4 linked regions of the Schizosaccharomyces pombe genome follow. Each later gene encodes a partner of the first gene's protein in a complex. Each region holds a gene or a part of one and is shown in the gene's direction. Other genes may lie near its edges. The genes, in order: med1, med14, med20 and pmc3.

Region 1 (4,347 bases):
GATGGTTTGAACCAGTTAATAAATTGCTGCATCCGGCTTTTCGTTCTCGTAGGAGTTTTCTTTCCATTCCGGTAGCTAGATTTGGTAGAAGAATCAGCTATGTAAGCATGTGGTATTGCCGGTACGTCAGGGGCATCCTCGTGTTTAGCTTTACTTCCTTTCTTCATACGAGAAGAACTTCTCGAAAAACTCAATCTGCTAAAAAAGCCACCTCTTGAAGATCTACCTTCTTTGTTGGAAGATTTCTGTGATTTAGACTCATTTTGGACAGTATTCCCATGTTTAGCTTCATGGTTACGATGCCCATCAACGTTTGTCTTCTGAGAAACCGCTTTAGGAGCAGCTTTCGGATCAGGATTTCTACTGTCGGGATGAACTTGAGATGATGTAGTAGTATTATTGTGATTATCGGATGAAACAGGTTTGTTGTTATCGAAGACAGAGGGGGTAGCAAAAGAGTGTGATTTGGTTTGTGATCCTACATGTGAGTGATTATTTTTAACATTAGAAAGGGTTATTTGACTATGGGGGGAAAGTTCTTTGAAAAAAGAATTGGATGTCTTCAAAGGGGATTGGATTGTAGAAAGATTCTTCGATTCTGAACTTGATTTCGTAAGGGATCCAGATATATTTGCTTTAGGATGTTGGTGATCAGTGGAATGACCTATATTAGGAGGAATAGTTGGAACAGGAGGAATTCCAGACTTATTTCCAATAGAAGCTGCTCTGGGATGTGAAGTAGAATGGAAGTTAGTATGACGCCAACTACCGGATCTCTTTGGAGCCATTGAAGCATGGTATGCATGGTTCCCCGAGGAAAAAACGCTAGATTGTAAAGGAACGGATGATACATCTTGTGTAATAGATATAACCCCACTCAAATGCCCCCCATTATTTTGCTGATTCCAATCACTAGGCTTTGATGAACGATTATAATATGATAAGGAAGTTCCAAAACTCTTAGAGTTCGATATTGAAGATGTCCTATGATGTGAAGAAGTATTCAACGACGAAGGATTGTTCTGCTGAGATGACTCGAAATCGATTGGGTTATTACCAATACTTATGTTTGACAAACGGTGTATGGAATTCCTCGGACTGTTTTTCTGTCTATAATCGTGATCAAAACTACTTCGGAGTAAACCATTGCCAGTCGAGTGGTGTATAGTAATAGCATGATTATCCATAGATGAACCAACTCCCTTTGGTTCAACATTCATAAATAACTCATCTTTATGCTCTTGTTCCGGAAAAGAAATGTTCGTATTTGAGGCATTCGTCGAAGGACTCGTATCTGCTGCTGTACTGCTAGAACTCTGGCGGTTTGGACAAATATCGTTGGAATAACTACCAACGGCAGAAAGTTCAGATGGGTTTAATAGTTCAGATTTTATTCCGAACATGTTTGCGCTTTTCCGGTTTGATGTATGAAGTTTAAATAATGCATCCGTATTTTCGTCGCCCAGAGAAACCGCTTTTTGGGACTGCAAATAGCCCATTTGCAAACTTTGCTTCAAAAAGCCAAAATTCTCACTATATTACGCTTTTACTGGCTTTTTTGAAACAAAATATTGTTTCTATAAGCTCCCTCCTTCAGTTACAGTCTCTTATCTTCTTTAAAATGCAAACTAGTAGCAGTACGTTCGTGGCTAATTAAAGCCGCGCTACACCCTGCATATCAATACCAACCACTTCTGAAAGGGCACGCAAGCTGTAAATGAAACATAGAACGCTTATTGATTTGTGCACAAATTTTACCAAAAAGAAAATATTTTATTAAGATTTACTGCATATATATTTTGATGCTTTAAAAAGAGTTTGAGTGAACATACTTTGGGTTTTTTTTAGTCCAAGGTTTAAAATTGGTTTTCATTTGTATACATATAAAATTCCCCATAACTACTGTTTTAACCCTCGTTATAAAGATAAATCAATCACACAGACCTTCCCATTGAAACTAAGTTTTAGGCGGTTCAAAATTACCTACTTGTTTTTGCAATTAATGCGTTTCTAGCAAATAGTTTGATGGCAGTAAAGGCTTCCTTTTTGCAGAACAAATTAAATTGCTCGCTGAACAGACATAAAATTGCGCTTATATACAGTGTTTTAAGCTGATTAAATACGAAATACACGACTAATTTACTAAATCTTCTTTAATAATCTTTTCGATGGATAGACCACATCTCTTTTCTGAAGTTCATTTCCGTCGAAACGCCTCTAACCCCAATCAGATTAACTGGACGCGTTATTGGATTGATTGTCTATCATCAGTTCCTTGGAATGATATCTCTGTAACTGGATTTGAATATTTGGCTAAAAAGTATGGTCTGGAGGTTTTTCAAGACTCCTCCAAACCCAATGAAGTGGTCCTCAGTTTAGCTGGAAAAATAATTTTGATCGACGTAAGTTTAAATCCTGTACATAACCGTTTTACTAATTAGTATCTAGATCACTGTTCCCATAAATGCGTCTCCAAAAGATATCAACGTTGTTTTGGCTTTTGCAAACGCTAGTGGTGAGCAATATAATAATCCTGTTGCAGAAAAATTACTTAAGGATGCAATTTACAATTGCAATACCCCACTATTTGAAAAGAATGTCAAATGGTTGGCTACCTTTGATCACTCCTCTCCTTCGGTCCAACAAAGTTGTTTCCAATATTTAGACTCACTATCCTCTTCTTTAAATGCTATTTATGAAGCAGAATTATCTTTGCTAGCACAAGAAGAAAATGTTATAATGCATGGAAACGGAAAGCCTCTCAGTAATTACGAAGGACAACTTGGTTTGCGTATTGTATACTGGAAGCTTTTGGATAAAACCTATAGCACTCAAATTTTTATGGATAATTTGTCTCATGAGTCGCTACCTCACTTGTTATTCGGATATAATTTATTAAATTCTCCTCCTATCCTCCAATCATCAAAAATTAATTGGGCACTTGAAAATACTTTGACACCTATTCCTACAACAATGGAACTAGTTTTTGATGATATCAATTTAATAATACCAGAGCAGGGCGTCAAACCTTTACTTGATTTGCTTCATGTCCATGACATTACCATTCCTTGGCCTGTCCAAAATTATAGTCATATGGTAAGTACTTTCCCTAAATATCAACTTAACTAATTTCACCAGCTTGGTTTACCTTCAAAATCAACCGTGAACTACAAATTCATTAATAAAAATCAAGCCATCCAGCTAACAGGGTTCGATGTTTCCGCACGTTCTTTGCGTCACGTACCGTTTCATCATCCCAAGCAAATTCGAGGAATACTTGCTATTGTACGCCAATATTTATTATTACAATTGATTTTGGAAAATATCAAATCAGCAGATTTAGCAGAGACTGCGGCATCTTCCTCCCTTCACCTCTCTCTATATTTTAAGGAGCATCCGATCGTTCATGCCCAATATCAAGAAATCAACAAACTGAATAATTCCGAACAAATTATCATTGTTCTATCCGTATTGTCAGATGGAAGACTGAATGTTGATTATATGTCTAGTGGTGGCAAAGAATTGTCAAAACAACAGTCTCATGTTTTTCAAAAACTTATACAACAAACATGTAACATCGGACTTGCGATAGAAGTGTTTATAAAGAAAGTCGTTAATTAGAATTTCATGCTAGAAAAAGACATTACTAATCAGTTTTAAAAATCTTTAGTAAAATGAAATTATGGAATTAGTTGGATGTTTTGAATAGTATAAATTGAACACTTTAAAAGGCTAGCCTATTTTACAAAAATCAGAACACTTTAATAGATATATTCAACTTACGAGAAACTAATTTGCTAAAACTTGAAAGAATCAGCTTAATATTTTAGAGAACAGGATTGTAAGTTATTCAATTCTCAAAGCACAAATTGTGGTAGAGAGTAAAAAGAGGCCGTTCTTATTCGTCGTCGTCTTCTTCTTCTTCCTCCTCATCTTCACTCTCAGATTCGTCACTTGCTTCAGCCAACCATGTCAAAAAAGGTTCAGCAGCTTCATGAATCTTCTTACTAGTTTCACGGCTCACATATTTCTTGCTAGCCTTTGCTCCCCATTTCTCAAACATGTCATCAGAGACCAAGTCATTCTGATAAATCTCCAAGAGTACCTTGGGAACAACGTCGATGTGCACTAATTCAGTGTTTTCCATCAAACGTTCAAACCCACCAAGAAGAGCACGTTCATGTTTATCTGTCGTGCAAAGCTTTTTAAACAATGCACCATGCTTTTCAAACTCCCCAACGTAAGGCGAAGTAATAATACATTGAACTAGTACAACAATAGCTTTACTTTTATGATGAATATTCTCTTCCTTCATCTTTTTGTAAATTTCAACATCAGAAACACCAG
Region 2 (5,649 bases), on another chromosome or scaffold:
ACTTTAATCTTAAAATAAATGAATTCAAGCAACTACAAATAATCGATACCAAATCGACAAGTCCTTTCTACGTAGTCCGATAACACAAAGTAATGTTTTCAAAAGAAAAAGGAATTAAAAATTGAAGATTTCAAGACAAATGATTGAAGGAACACTCACTTTTCCTACTAGTATATCTTCTGGTGGTATTGTTTACATTTGGTAGAAGAAGACCTTGCAATTGTTAGTGTGAATGCGATGAATAGCAAACTGCCTTCCACATCACAACCACAACAAGAAACTTAAAAGGAATTCAATTTTTGAAAAGACGGTATCTAAAGAAAATCATATACCAATGAATAACATAACGAAATTAATGAAACAAAAGAATATTTTGACACCTCCTTTGCCTCTGTACCGAAGGGTGTTGAGAGCGCATCGCTATCACCTAGGAGCAGAAGAACGAGCTTTAGGAGATGAATATGTAAAGGCGGAATTTCGAAGACATCGGAACGTAACAAATCCTTTGCATTTAGTAGGATTTTTAAGCTCGTGGGAGAGGTATGCGGATGCACTAGAAAACGAGAGCTGGAAACAGGAAAAATACAGTAATACGGATCTACTAGAATCTTTAAATGACCAGCAAATCGGACAGGTAAGAAAACTTATATTAGATTGAGGTTTATTATTAAAAGAAGAGAACTTTTACCAGTGCTCTTGAACTTATTGCTTCTTTTTTTGGACCTATAGTTTCTAACTATTATTGGCAGTTGTACGAGCTCTCAAAAGCTCTTCAGGAACAGAAAAAGTCTGAGTAGTGGTCGCGGAATCTGATTCTTTATCAGACATCTCTTTGTTATTAGAAGGATTTTGATTGTTTGAGTTGTCGTCATTTTTATTGGCACTTTGAGACGACATCTGCAAATCGTTATTAACTCGAGCATGTGCAAGCTCAACCAAAAACCTATAAAGTTGTTAATGAATGATCTGGACTACTCGTAAAAAAGTGAACGAGATGTTCAACTTCCTCATGGATAAACGTACCATGTTAGCGACAGCCACAAACAGATTGCCAGGAAAAATAAGATGAGACAATGAATACTTTTTGTACCTATATAAAGTCCAAGAAAAACAGCGACAAGTGCACCACAGGCTACGTGTGCTGACTTAGCCAATACAGGTGTGACACCTGGTGTGAAAATTGATTCCCATAGTTCCACCCAATACGACATGATCTTTTTCTTATTGGAATACTACTTGGAAATGTAGTAGCTATGAATTGACGTTGTTAAACCACCGTTTGTGTTCTAGCGATAAAATCTGGCCTTTATAGTGTGCGTGTGCTATTGAATTAATTTAGCAACGAGACCGATGTTGGAGTTCATTAAAAGTTAAAATGGATTTCAAGAAATCCATATCTTATACTACTATTAAAACCGAAGGTTATGCTTCCATTTGTCCAAATTTATTGTTAATAGAGCTTTGAATCATTCAAATGGAATAGTGCTCTACTTTTGTTTTGCTATATTAAAAATTTTTTGTCAGCTTCTTGTGGTCGTGGAGAAAATAATTAAATGATCAAAACAAATGTTATTTTTCGGCTTAGCTCTTCTAAATTACTGTTTTATTATCATTTTAATGAGACACGCTGAAGCTCTGATTAAAATTGATAGCAAAGTTTGAACAGCTTTAATGATGATTTTCGTTCAGTTTAAAGAAGGGGCTTTTTAACTACTATAGAATTACGAGAATCTTTTTGAACGGTTCCATCTCATTTGTTATTCTTCATTATCCATAGTTTCAAACTATGTTTTATGCGATTATCGCATAACAGGGCATGTTTATACTAGCTCAAATTTATTCAAAATCTCCCATTTTAGTAATATCATTGATCAATTATTATTTAATTCCATTTAAAATTGCTTATTTATTGATTATTCCAATTTTTTGAATGAATAAACCTAAGGCGTTTTAACAATCTCAGTGAATGGCGTAACGAAGGTTATCGAAGAGTTTCACGGGAGCTGTGTGAAGTTGCTTTTGGCACGCTACTCGAAGATTTCTGTAAAAGAGATATAAAGAATCCTTTTTAAGGGTTTTTAAAAGAACAAAACTTATGTTTATTACGAAATTTAGTTTTGGTAAAGGATCGGCTAATTAAAGGCGCTATTACACGAAATTCCTAACTCCTCCAATTGAGGATGGAACCGCCTGCGATTCCACACATTACAGAAGGATTTTATCCTCTTCCTGAGATAGTAGAAACTTTTAGTCATCATGTGTTACAAGAATTGGTGTCTTTAGCCGAAGTTCTACCCTCTATGTCAAATGTCGAGAAAAAGAAAAAGATCTTAGATTGGTTATTACGTTCGCGCGCTTTCACTATGCGTTTGCTAGTTTTAGCGCGTTGGGTACATCTATCTCCTTCAGTTCATCGATGCATAGATGTTGTAGCCTTTCTTCAAGGTCAAAAATTTTGCTTCCAGAATTTAGTTCATGTGTTACAAGATATTCGTTACCAGTTGTCATTTGCACGTCTACGCAACTCAGATTTAGTTACTGCATTAGATATTTTGTCAACTGGCACGAGTCTTCGTCTAGCAAATGCTCCCACTTCAAAATTATACATGCTATCTGAATCACCGCTAAGTACCAAACAAATACTTCAAACCCTTCATGCTCTTAACATGCTTATTAGAATTCGTCTTAGTCTTTATGAAATTATTCCGACACCATTTCAACATTTCACAATTGCTAATGGTCGTTGCACATTTACTGTTCCCAATGAGTTTTCAGTGTCTTTGACAACCAATTCCCAAGATCCTAAATCTACCGGTATTTCATTCCAGTGGATTGTTGTTGACTTTCAATTTCATCTTCCTGATTTTTCTTCTACTCCCGCAAAATATCGGGTTTTTATAGAATTGCATCTCAATGAAGAAATCGCTGCTGCATTCGTTCTACAAAAGCCCATCCTACCTTTAATATATAATATCCTTCATAAATTTTGTTTATATCAGCGCCTTAATTTATTGTCACAACAAACTTTTCAACTATCCAGAGAAAGTTGGTTAGGGCATTTGCGCGGTGTCTATGATGAAAAGCCCCCACGGCTACGTCTATACTATTGGCCCCAATTAAATGTGAAAAAAGAAGGAAAACCCGGAAAAATTGGTCATTATATTCATATATTTGTAAATACTCAACCCATATCCGCCTTTGAGCGTACCCTTAGCTCTAAGAGATCCAGTTGTGAATATGATCATTTTTTATTACTCGTTGAATGGCACCATGATGGCATTGTTGAACATGTACCATTAGATGATCATATGGATGCTCAGCATCTACTATTATTAATTACCCAAAAACACGCTCAACTTATTCTGGAACAAATCCGTAAGGAGCTTCACCCAAATATATTTAGTGAACATGTTGGTGGTGGTCTAAAAATTCATGTCTTTGATAATGAAATAATTGTCAAGGTGAACAGCGTTACCGGCAGGCTCGTGCTGTCGAGTTCGGCTTCACCTTTATCACCTCCCAGGCATCTTCGTGCTGCTGAAAAAAATATTGCTTTGAATACGCAACCTCCCGCCCAAATCTTGAATCGGTTGTATTTCTTTTGTATACAAACGCAGCTATTAGAAGTTGCCCAGTGTGCTGAGTTGCATGCAGTTCAAGGTTACTATTCTTTCCCTTATCTTACATTCTCCAAAGGTAAATGGAGAAAAGATGGCGATTCCCTATGGGTACTCGCGTACAACGTTGAATCCAACTCTTGGTCTGTTAGATTGTTGAACGCTGCGGGTCAAACTCTCTACACCCAAGATGTTCATACTACAAAAGGTACTTTAAGTATTGAAAGTTTTAGCCGTCTTTCGTACCTATTGGAAGTCCAAATACTTTTATTCAATGTTCAAACTGCTTGCCAAGCTCGTGGTATGCCTTTTGAATATTTGCCTATTCCACCAAAAGCCCTAATTGAAGATGACTTTACTACATACGTCCAAACAGGATGCTTATGTATTATGATGCCATCGTCTAATGAAGATATGCTTCCTGTGGTTTTCGTTCGCGCGCATGACGGGCAGTTAATTTTTGACTCCCGAATAAAAGGAAAATTGCCGTATCAGTCTGAGACTGAAACTGAAAAGAACTGCTACATAGATTGGAGAACCGGTCGTATTACCATTCGTGTGCAAAATTTTTCATCTTTCGAAAAAACATGGATTGGATTACTTAAACTTGTTGCTTTGTCTAAAACATCTGCATTCAATGTAGATTGTATCACGTTAAAGCATGTGGACTTTACATATCTCGATGATGAGAAATTTAGGGCTACAATTCATGACGACAACACTTTTACCCTTCATTTTTTTAATCGACATAGTCCGTTTCATCTAATTTCTCAGTTTTTGCAGGATACATTTTCTGATGGGCCCTCAGCTATTCAACCATTACGCGTAATTATGGATAGAACGAGAGGTGTTTTAGTAGCTCAAGAATTGGGCTACGTTGTTTTGGCTCGATCTCTGCGTCAGTACAGAATTATCCTATCCAAAAATCATGGCATTCAAGTTCTTTTAAATCGCCATGGATGTATACTCCAAGATTTATCCTACTTATCTGCCGATTCCCGATACTTGGAAGGAACTCAGACTTTGACGTCTCAATGGGAACCTTGTTCATGGCTTAATACTGTTTGGGAAGGTGACTTGGGTGATGATGAGCTTAATGGTCAGATTGAGGCCGCTCCCGAGATGCACTTAATAAAGATGAACAAAACGGCTGATTTAACAGCCATTCTAAAAAGAATTTTAGCGATCTCTCGAAAAAAATGAACTCATATTAAGCTTTTAATCCTCACCCCCTCCACCGTCCATTCCTTTCGGTGGCAGTGATTAGTGATTGTATATATAAATACGGCAAAAAATGTCTGGTTAATGAGGTAAATGAAAATCGTTTTCTAAAGTATACAAGTGAATGTTACATTGATGATACATGTGATTTATATAATCCAACGTGTAAATTAGAGATCGTCGAATTAACGCTTAATCATTTATGAATAAGCAAAAAACTTCCGTAGGTAAAATGAATTTCTATTATAATCGCCATAATCCCAAGTTTATTCAAAGCTGTGTTCTTTTAAGCTAATAAATTTTATATTGAATCTTTAAGTACCGCTGGCATCAACATACGTTGATCACCACTAGCAGTTGCAGTTCTTAAAGCTTCTCGTAAAGCCATAGTAGCGTAAGCAGAAGATGGAAGTACAAATTTTAACGTAACAGCGGTGTGCTTACCAACCTCAGAACTCACTGAAATAGAACGGTTCTCCAATCTATCCTTATCCGTCAAAATCAGTTGTTGTTCCATATTGTCATACTTTATGAAATTAAACTCCATATTTTCAGGACGCACCAAAAGTTTTCGATAATCACCAGGTAATGAAAGTTCTCTGTCTTTGCGAGACATATTTAATGGATCAAGTGATGCCTCATTCATGACAGACTTGTATATATCGAAAGTTTCATTTTTTGGGTATATTACATTACGACCAGGTAAAGGAAGTACTATGTCGTAAATACTAAAGTTATTGACTTCGTCCTCTTCAATCGGACGAGCTGATAATTTTGAGCTCACAGGTAAATCTTCTAGAAGATCAGGTGC
Region 3 (3,483 bases), 1.8 Mb from region 1:
GAGTAAGCTAATATTGAATAAACTAGATTTATTATCTTTTCAGCAAAGGCGTAAATCGATTGCACTTTATTTTTTAAAATGGAACATACTTACTAACCATTTAGAAAATTCTAGCTCAATTTAAAGGATAAAAAGAGTCATTATGTGGGAAAGAAGACATAAAACAGAATCATTGATTCAGTTCCATAAGCGACAGAATAGTAGATACCAAAAAGTAAGATAAAGCCATATTTATAGATCGGGTCTACTATTGAGAACACGAACTATACATCCTATACCGGATATTTCCACCACCTACAAAACCGTATTAGTGACCGAATAAAAATGTAAAGCATGAGATAAGCAATGCTAGAGCGTTGGGAAAAGCAATAAACTAAAAGTTACCTTTTCGTGCCAATTAAGTAATACAGACGAGTTGTAGGCTTGAGGATTCGCCAATCCACGATAAATGAAGTTTACAATATTATCAATTTCCTCCGTTGAACATTCTTTTACAAATGCGGGAATGTCAGCAGCTCGTATATTGCTTAATACATCAACAAAAGCATTCAAATATTGAGTCTAAAAAAGTTAAAATTCATTTACACCATAATAAAATGAAATCAAGAAGAATTGTAAATTTAATCAATAAATAAAAACGTAATTGATATAAACCGTCTTTAAGCAGTTTGTACAGTTTGCACATACCCTAACTTCTTGAACATCATTTCCATAAGGAACATATGAGAGTAAGGTTTTCAAACCTTGTAAGGCATTTCCTCTATTTTAATTAATAAAAAAATTGCTTCTTTTAAATAAACATACGTTTGAATGGCAGACCGGGCTTGAGGAATGAGTTGAGAGACGGCTGCTTGGACTTGCTCCGCCGTTTCGTTACGAATTGGAAATATATCTTGCTCTGTTAAAACAGGTTCTGTGATGGAGTCGACATCCAAAGTCCGAAACGTCATTTTATAACTCTATAACTGGTAAGGTAAAGAAAACGATGGAACAGGTTAAGTTTCAGCTGTGTGTAGCTCTAAAGAGGCATCATACAACGGTCGAACGCAAGTCTGTAACTGAAGTTATTATAATTCATAGAGTATATTAATTTAACCAATAAGTTAAGAAAATTCAAAAAAATATATTTATATTTTTTTAATCTTATAACTTTAACTTATAATTTTTGAGCGGAGCTATATAAGTCTGGTAACAGCATTACTAACTTCTTCAGTACTCCATAGACCTCTTTTGTGGATGTTTATTTTTTTTTATTTGTAAATAATCATCTCTACCTTTGGTCTTAGATGTAAAGTTCTGAATAACTTGTAGACAGAAATTGGTTACATATTTTACATTTCTGCCTATGGTGATTCAGAAGAAAATATGTTAGATACAGCCTAGTAATTAGTTGAATAAAGATTAAAAGTAATTTTTTTTTTGCTTCTATCTATTTTCAGTATGTATATTGATGTATGAGTTTATACTTCTATTCGAACAATAACTTTTAAGACTTATTTTGCTGACAGAACTATGTAGTTTCTTGTGTAAAGTTCAAAGTAAAACGAAGAGACACATATGTAACATCCTGGGATTAACAGATTTTTAATTAGTGCTCAAACCAGCCAGTTACATTGTTACGTAGTATTTGACTCTCCAGAAGTTAATTATGAATGTAATTCAGTTAACTTAATTCTCTTCAAGCTTTTAACAATTTGCTCTGGGATTATCATACCCAAAAGCCATATACTTTGCGACTTGGAAAATAATAAAAATGACAAGAGATAAATTAATAAAATTTGAGCTCATATTATGTCTATCTGCTTTTTTTTTTTAATACAGGAACAATGAAAATGAAGGTTTTAAATTAGCCTGTTAGCAATTCTTGCAACCGCCGTACGCATTAAACTCTTCACATCAACATTACAGTAGAAGTAAAAGAACTAATTCGGCCATTTTTCTCAATAATTCGGTATAAACCGATATTCAGATGCATAATTAATTACCATTCATCTTTGTTATAAAATATGCCTGTTCACGGGTAAAAAGCATACCGATTGACTATTTTGCTGATTGATTATAGAGTTATTTATTATTCATCGCCTTCAATGGCGACGTTCCTTTCTCCAGCACAGGATAATCTGGTTAGGACCTACTTTGCACAACATTTAAGTAAGCTGACACTGGTTTGGATTTTATTTCTTATGATTGATGATTTCAAGATCTAACTTTGAATTTCAGAAAAATGGGTAGTTCAGTATAAACTTTACAGAAATGCTGTCACTCCAAAAACTTTAGAATTTTTGAAGCAAAACATTAATCCCAGCATGCTGGCGTGTGTGGATGAAGCGACAATGATTGATGCAGAACCTGAACTTGAGGACATCATTGTGCGAACGAAATTATGGAATTTTCGGCAGTCCTTTACTATTGAAGGTTCAATATATGAAGTAGGGAGCTTTAAAGTGGCTATTGCCAACGTTTTACAAAAGTCCGTTTGGAAGGGTATACTTTTTCATGTAACTTACGATGGTACTGAGTCCGTCGATCTCGCACGCCCTATTATTCAAGAATTCTTTCTTAAATGCTTTTTACAAAATAATAAATCGGTAACCCCTGTCTATGAAAGCTTCTTTAACCAGCCTCGTCATTCTTTGGATTCAAAACTTCTACTACAGTTGTTTAAACAACGCATTGATACCGTTTCACAACGCACATAGAATAAAAAAGTATCAATTTAAATTTTTTCTGTAAATAAATTTCTATCTAACTAACTGTCAAAGTCTTGCTTTATTGTCAGCAGAAAGTTATGGCTCCCTTTCACATTTACAGATACCAATTATGTTTAATAATAAAATAGAAATGCAGGAGTTTGAATAACAACCCATTTTAAACTCGATGCATTTCACTGTACTCCAAAAAGTAATTATTCATTCAAAATTATTCAAATAAACTCTAGATGAGATTATGGAATCAGCATTAAAAGCTTATTAATCAACCTTTACTACCAAAACATTAAACGTCTAAGTTTCCAAAATACTATGCGCGCTTATAAAAGCATTGAATATGCTTTACTCTAAGGAATCTGTAACAGCACCCTTGGAGGCAGTGCTAACGTTGCGAGCATATTTTAAAAGGGTTCCTTGTTGGTACTTCAAAGGAGGTGCCTTCCAAACACTGCGGCGTCTCGCCATCTCCTTCTCATCAACCATCAAATCTAAAGTGTTCTTTACAGCATTGATTTCAATGACATCGCCGTCCTGAACAAGAGCAATAGGGCCTCCAACTTGTGCTTCGGGATCAACGTGTCCAATCAAAAATCCGTGAGAGCCACCACTGAAACGACCGTCAGTCAAAAGTGCAACATCCTTTCCAAGACCAGCTCCCATAATAGCACTTGAAGGCTTTAACATTTCCGGCATACCAGGTCCACCTTTTGGTCCCTCAAAACGAATAATGACGACAGTCTTCTCGCCCTTCTTGAACTCACCACGCTCTAAGGCA
Region 4 (4,050 bases), 4.0 Mb from region 1:
TGCGCTTTTTCTAGCTAGCAAGACCTTCAAAGAAGGATTAAAGGCTCTTCTATCTCATTTTAAAGTCGTAGTTTATTTTTCGACTAATTGCAATTATTAATCTTCTTTTAATAATAAAAATACAAAAGATACTCTGATGTTATGTAACTATCTTCGTTTAAATTTATTCATATATGGTTATTGAAATTCTGTGAAATTCATAAATCTTGACCAAAAGCAAAATATTTGTATGACAATTATAAATATGCATGAAAATTTAATTCAAACGCAGTAAAAGCAATTGTCAACCGTAACATTCTTATCATTAGCATAAATGAGAGAAAAAGACAGACAAGTCAGAGATGGGAATAGTAGAGACCTTATTAAAGTAAAAAGTTAAAAAGGAAAATCATTACATGAAATCGATACCCGCGCCGAATTGCAGGCCTTTACGACCGATATCCTTTTCGGTAGTAGCGATTGGTAAGGTAAAGTTCAGCTCGAAACGCGCAGCGGGAGTTGCATAGACTAAACCTAAGCCTGTAGAGATACAAGGCTTAGAAAGTATTGATTTGTATGTGCCACATGGATTTGGAGAAGTCAAATTCGATAGCCCTCCAGCATTCGCAAACAACTGTAAGCGAAATGGTTTAGAAGCATCAACTTTTGGCAAAGGGAATAGCAAGCTCATGGAGAAAGCCATATATGCGGTCCCGCCTAAAGAATCCCTGCCATCTTTTGGACCTATACGGTCTTCTGAAAAACCACGAAGGCTAGTTGAACCGCCTAACATGAAACGATCACACAGACTGACTTGCTTCTTATTTAGACTATGCAATGCTCCAATCCGGGCGGACAAAGAAAGAGAAACAGACCTAGAAGAATTTAAAGCCACAGCTTTTTGACCCCAGAATTCTGATTTTAGAAAGCTCGCATCTCCTGGAAGAAATCCGAACCCAGCGAGCTCTAAAGTCTGCCTCACATAATCTCCCTTCGTGGGTATCATAAGATGATCGCGTGTATCGCGTGTATACGTATAGGAAAGAGATTGTTTTAATGAATCACCGGCCTCAAGTCGTACGCTTGGAGAAGCATATTCAGTGAGATGAGTAACTTGCCTCCACAATAAGTTTTGTGAAAGTAAATGCTCGCCAGACCACAGATCTTGATGCTGCAATGAAAGCGTAATTCCTTTAGTAAGTAAGTCATGGCTCGAAATAGATTTATTGTCTCTCAAGTTACTGTGGCCATTGAATCGTAAACGGGTTTTAGGATCTGCGTTTACTGGGGTCTCAAAGTTCACGGACATGGTAGACCGATTACGAGTTCCATATGAAACGTTACCAGAAAGAAGTTCAGCTCCTCCAAAAACATTTCTTGCAAGAACATTAGCATGTACATTGCCTTCAACGTTACCAACATCAGTGCCGGTTTCTACATATAAACGTGGTTTCTCTTTTACTTGAATGGTAACATCAAGATCATCATCTCCAGAAACAGAAGAGCTAGCACGATCTATTTTAATATTGGCAGTTTCATAAACGTTGAATGCCATCAAATTCCCAGTAGTTTCTTGAATAGCATTTAATGTTTCAAGCAAAGATCGACTTTTGGCCGGTTTCGACGTATCCAAACATGTTTTCAATACTTTGCGAATGAAACTTGGCCTAGTATGATGTGCACCAGTAACTCGAATGGAAGAAATACCCACTGGCAAAGTGCTATTTTCTGCCAACTGATTGATGATGGTTAGTATAAATTATGGTGAATTAAAAAAAAAATAGAGACGAAAATTAGATAATAAAACTTAACTTACAATTTCAGAAAGGCTCTTAAATGTTTCCTCAGCTGAAAGTTTGCTTTCTTCGTTCACGGCGGGAATGTCAGATGGAAAAGAAGTTGACTCAAATTGTTCGGTCATATTTTCAAATTTCCTATATTTTGAATATAATAACAATCTTCTTTCTCAATAGCACTGGGGTTGAATTATTTTTTAAAGGTTTTTAGATGAATGTAAGTTCGTTAATGACAGCCGACATCTTACCATCTACTATTTGGATGTGCCGATTTTTGAATTCTCTCCATTTACCATCAATATTTATTTAATATACGCATTGTTAATTTTTTTTTCATAATTATTTTAAGTTTGTTAAGGCTACCAGAAATGTCATTAGAAGAGCAGCGTACAAGAGATGAATTAAAGCACAAGCTATTGGATTTAAATCAGCTTCACGAACAGGTTTGTCTAATTTCAGAAGACATTTTATTAATTTTAGCTTGCTGAATTAAGAACTATTTGTCCATCCCTTTTAAAATTATTACATCCTGAAACCGGCACAAGTAAGTAATTGTTTAAATAACTAAATTCTTTAAGAAAAACGAGTTAAAGTTTACACTAAGGGAAAATGATATGATGATTATCTTTCATATTAAATTTAAATTTTGCTCGAGTACTAATTAATTAGGTCGGAAATTTGAGAAAAGTGCTCAAGAAGCGATTGAAAAAGTAAATTCCTTTTATACACATCTTAAATCCAGTCAAAGTATGCATGCAAATTATTTTTAGCTTAAATTTTTGCTAATTAACAGACGTTTTTGATTATGCTGAAAAGTCTTTACAAGCCGATTCCTCTAATTTGCTCCCTACTTATTTATACAATTCAGAAGATTTGTCTAATGATACCGAAAATAATGAAACAAAATCCATTAATGGGAAGTCTGCATTAGACTTAAAGGAGCCGCATCACAGTGAATTGCATGATAATGACAATTTCCAAAATTCGGATATAAACATAGAGTCTTTTAAAGGTGATATTGAGGCTTCAGGGTCTATTCTTACAACGCATGAAAACAAGTCTTTCACTTTGAAACTAGCAAACGAGCTAGAGTTTATTTTCTTTCATGATACTAGGGGGAAATTTAGTGTTTATTGTTCATCTAGCAAAGACGATGCTATTACTTTTTCAATTAACCGTAACAACAACTTCCTTGGAAATTTATGGTCTCTTATGGTATGTGTTTTTGAGGTTGTTAGACAAAACCTCTGCTAACCGTGTGTAGCCTAAAATACTTGATTATCAGCATCTTTATTCTAAGCCGTGTGACTTTTGTAAAAGTCTCATTTCTCCTGTGTACCTGGAGCTTCCTTCTGTTCGAAGAAACGCAAACTCAACAGTGAAGCCTACTTCTAAAGATATATTAGCGTTACATGCAGAATGCGTGCCGGCTCAGTCAGATTTGTGAAACACTAATTTTGATATTCAAATGAAATAAGACGTTCATAATTGCCATTTTTGCTTCGTTTTGAGCTTGAGTTACAATTATCACTTTCAAAGAAGTGCATTTCAATCACATGCAGATGTTGGAATAAACTCAATGTCTTCTGACTCCTTGATATTTATAATTTCCAAATCTTGTTGGACTACTCAAGCCTGTTCTACAAACTTCAAATACCTTAATATATCATGGTTTTGTATACTAAAAATTCAAAAGTACTACTCTTTTAGTGATATAGATACTGTAAATTGGGCTATGCGTAACTCAATGAATGAAATTAAAATTTTCCAAAGCATTTCTCAATTACAATGTAGAGAATGTATTACCTTATACTATAAAGTCCATTTCCCGTTAACCCTGATAAATGATGGATTCATCCATAGCAAAACAATCAAAACAAACCAAAAGATGAAAGACTTAAATTACAGATTCAAATCCGATTACTTTACGAACTAGTTTTTGAGTTAGAATCTTTTTGACCCCCATCATTATCATGGTCATGCTCTTCAAGTAATTCGAAAGAATTAGCAGAAGTAACCGCGACGTTAGATGGTGGTGCACGAACAGACTGTTCCCTTCTTAAGGCACTGTTTTGACGAGAAGGCGTTCTACTAACGCTTCCACCTTTAAGCATTGAACTCAAACTTGTGGGACCGTGAGAACCCTGAGTACCAGATTTGAGACCTCTTATACCTTGTCCAAGTCTAGCATAACCATCTTTGTTATTAGACCAATCACTAGAGCTAAATGGTGGATTGCTTCCTCGACCGCCCATCCGAGAATCACCACGATTCA

Evidence for each region.
Region 2: med1 (region 1) and med14 share a complex: the UniProt entries of both Schizosaccharomyces pombe proteins name them as parts of the mediator complex.
Region 3: med1 (region 1) and med20 share a complex: the UniProt entries of both Schizosaccharomyces pombe proteins name them as parts of the mediator complex.
Region 4: med1 (region 1) and pmc3 share a complex: the UniProt entries of both Schizosaccharomyces pombe proteins name them as parts of the mediator complex.

The regions. Positions count from the first base shown.
Region 1 is NC_003424.3:536,227-540,573, forward strand, and holds med1 (mediator complex subunit Med1), read left to right. Parts: upstream 1-1,683; 5' UTR 1,684-2,168; coding exon 2,169-2,402; exon of another isoform or gene 2,403-2,448; coding exon 2,449-3,096; intron 3,097-3,138; coding exon 3,139-3,621; 3' UTR 3,622-3,786; downstream 3,787-4,347. Other genes in the region: DYRK family cell polarity protein kinase Pom1, read right to left, coding at 1-1,499; translation initiation factor Tif5, read right to left, coding at 3,899-4,347. UniProt on the Schizosaccharomyces pombe protein: Component of the Mediator complex, a coactivator involved in the regulated transcription of nearly all RNA polymerase II-dependent genes.
Region 2 is NC_003423.3:1,995,460-2,001,108, reverse strand, and holds med14 (mediator complex subunit Med14), read left to right. Parts: upstream 1-2,015; 5' UTR 2,016-2,180; coding exon 2,181-4,820; 3' UTR 4,821-5,103; downstream 5,104-5,649. Other genes in the region: sdh7 (ACN9 family protein), read left to right, coding at 335-634, 750-797; V-ATPase assembly factor Pkr1, read right to left, coding at 733-943, 1,024-1,211; pus7 (pseudouridine synthase), read right to left, coding at 5,140-5,649. UniProt on the Schizosaccharomyces pombe protein: Component of the Mediator complex, a coactivator involved in the regulated transcription of nearly all RNA polymerase II-dependent genes.
Region 3 is NC_003424.3:2,348,321-2,351,803, forward strand, and holds med20 (mediator complex subunit Med20), read left to right. Parts: upstream 1-1,872; 5' UTR 1,873-2,006; coding exon 2,007-2,020; intron 2,021-2,062; coding exon 2,063-2,151; intron 2,152-2,220; coding exon 2,221-2,699; 3' UTR 2,700-2,924; downstream 2,925-3,483. Other genes in the region: CENP-W family protein Wip1, read left to right, coding at 1-2, 105-131; ARP2/3 actin-organizing complex subunit Arc5, read right to left, coding at 232-294, 385-561, 688-760, 805-950; ilv3 (dihydroxy-acid dehydratase), read right to left, coding at 3,051-3,483. UniProt on the Schizosaccharomyces pombe protein: Component of the Mediator complex, a coactivator involved in the regulated transcription of nearly all RNA polymerase II-dependent genes.
Region 4 is NC_003424.3:4,488,393-4,492,442, forward strand, and holds pmc3 (mediator complex subunit Med27), read left to right. Parts: upstream 1-2,013; 5' UTR 2,014-2,143; coding exon 2,144-2,218; intron 2,219-2,255; coding exon 2,256-2,319; intron 2,320-2,444; coding exon 2,445-2,522; intron 2,523-2,568; coding exon 2,569-2,990; intron 2,991-3,039; coding exon 3,040-3,222; 3' UTR 3,223-3,550; downstream 3,551-4,050. Other genes in the region: sorting and assembly machinery complex subunit Sam50, read right to left, coding at 392-1,714, 1,796-1,900; tif471 (translation initiation factor eIF4G), read right to left, coding at 3,701-4,050. UniProt on the Schizosaccharomyces pombe protein: Component of the Mediator complex, a coactivator involved in the regulated transcription of nearly all RNA polymerase II-dependent genes.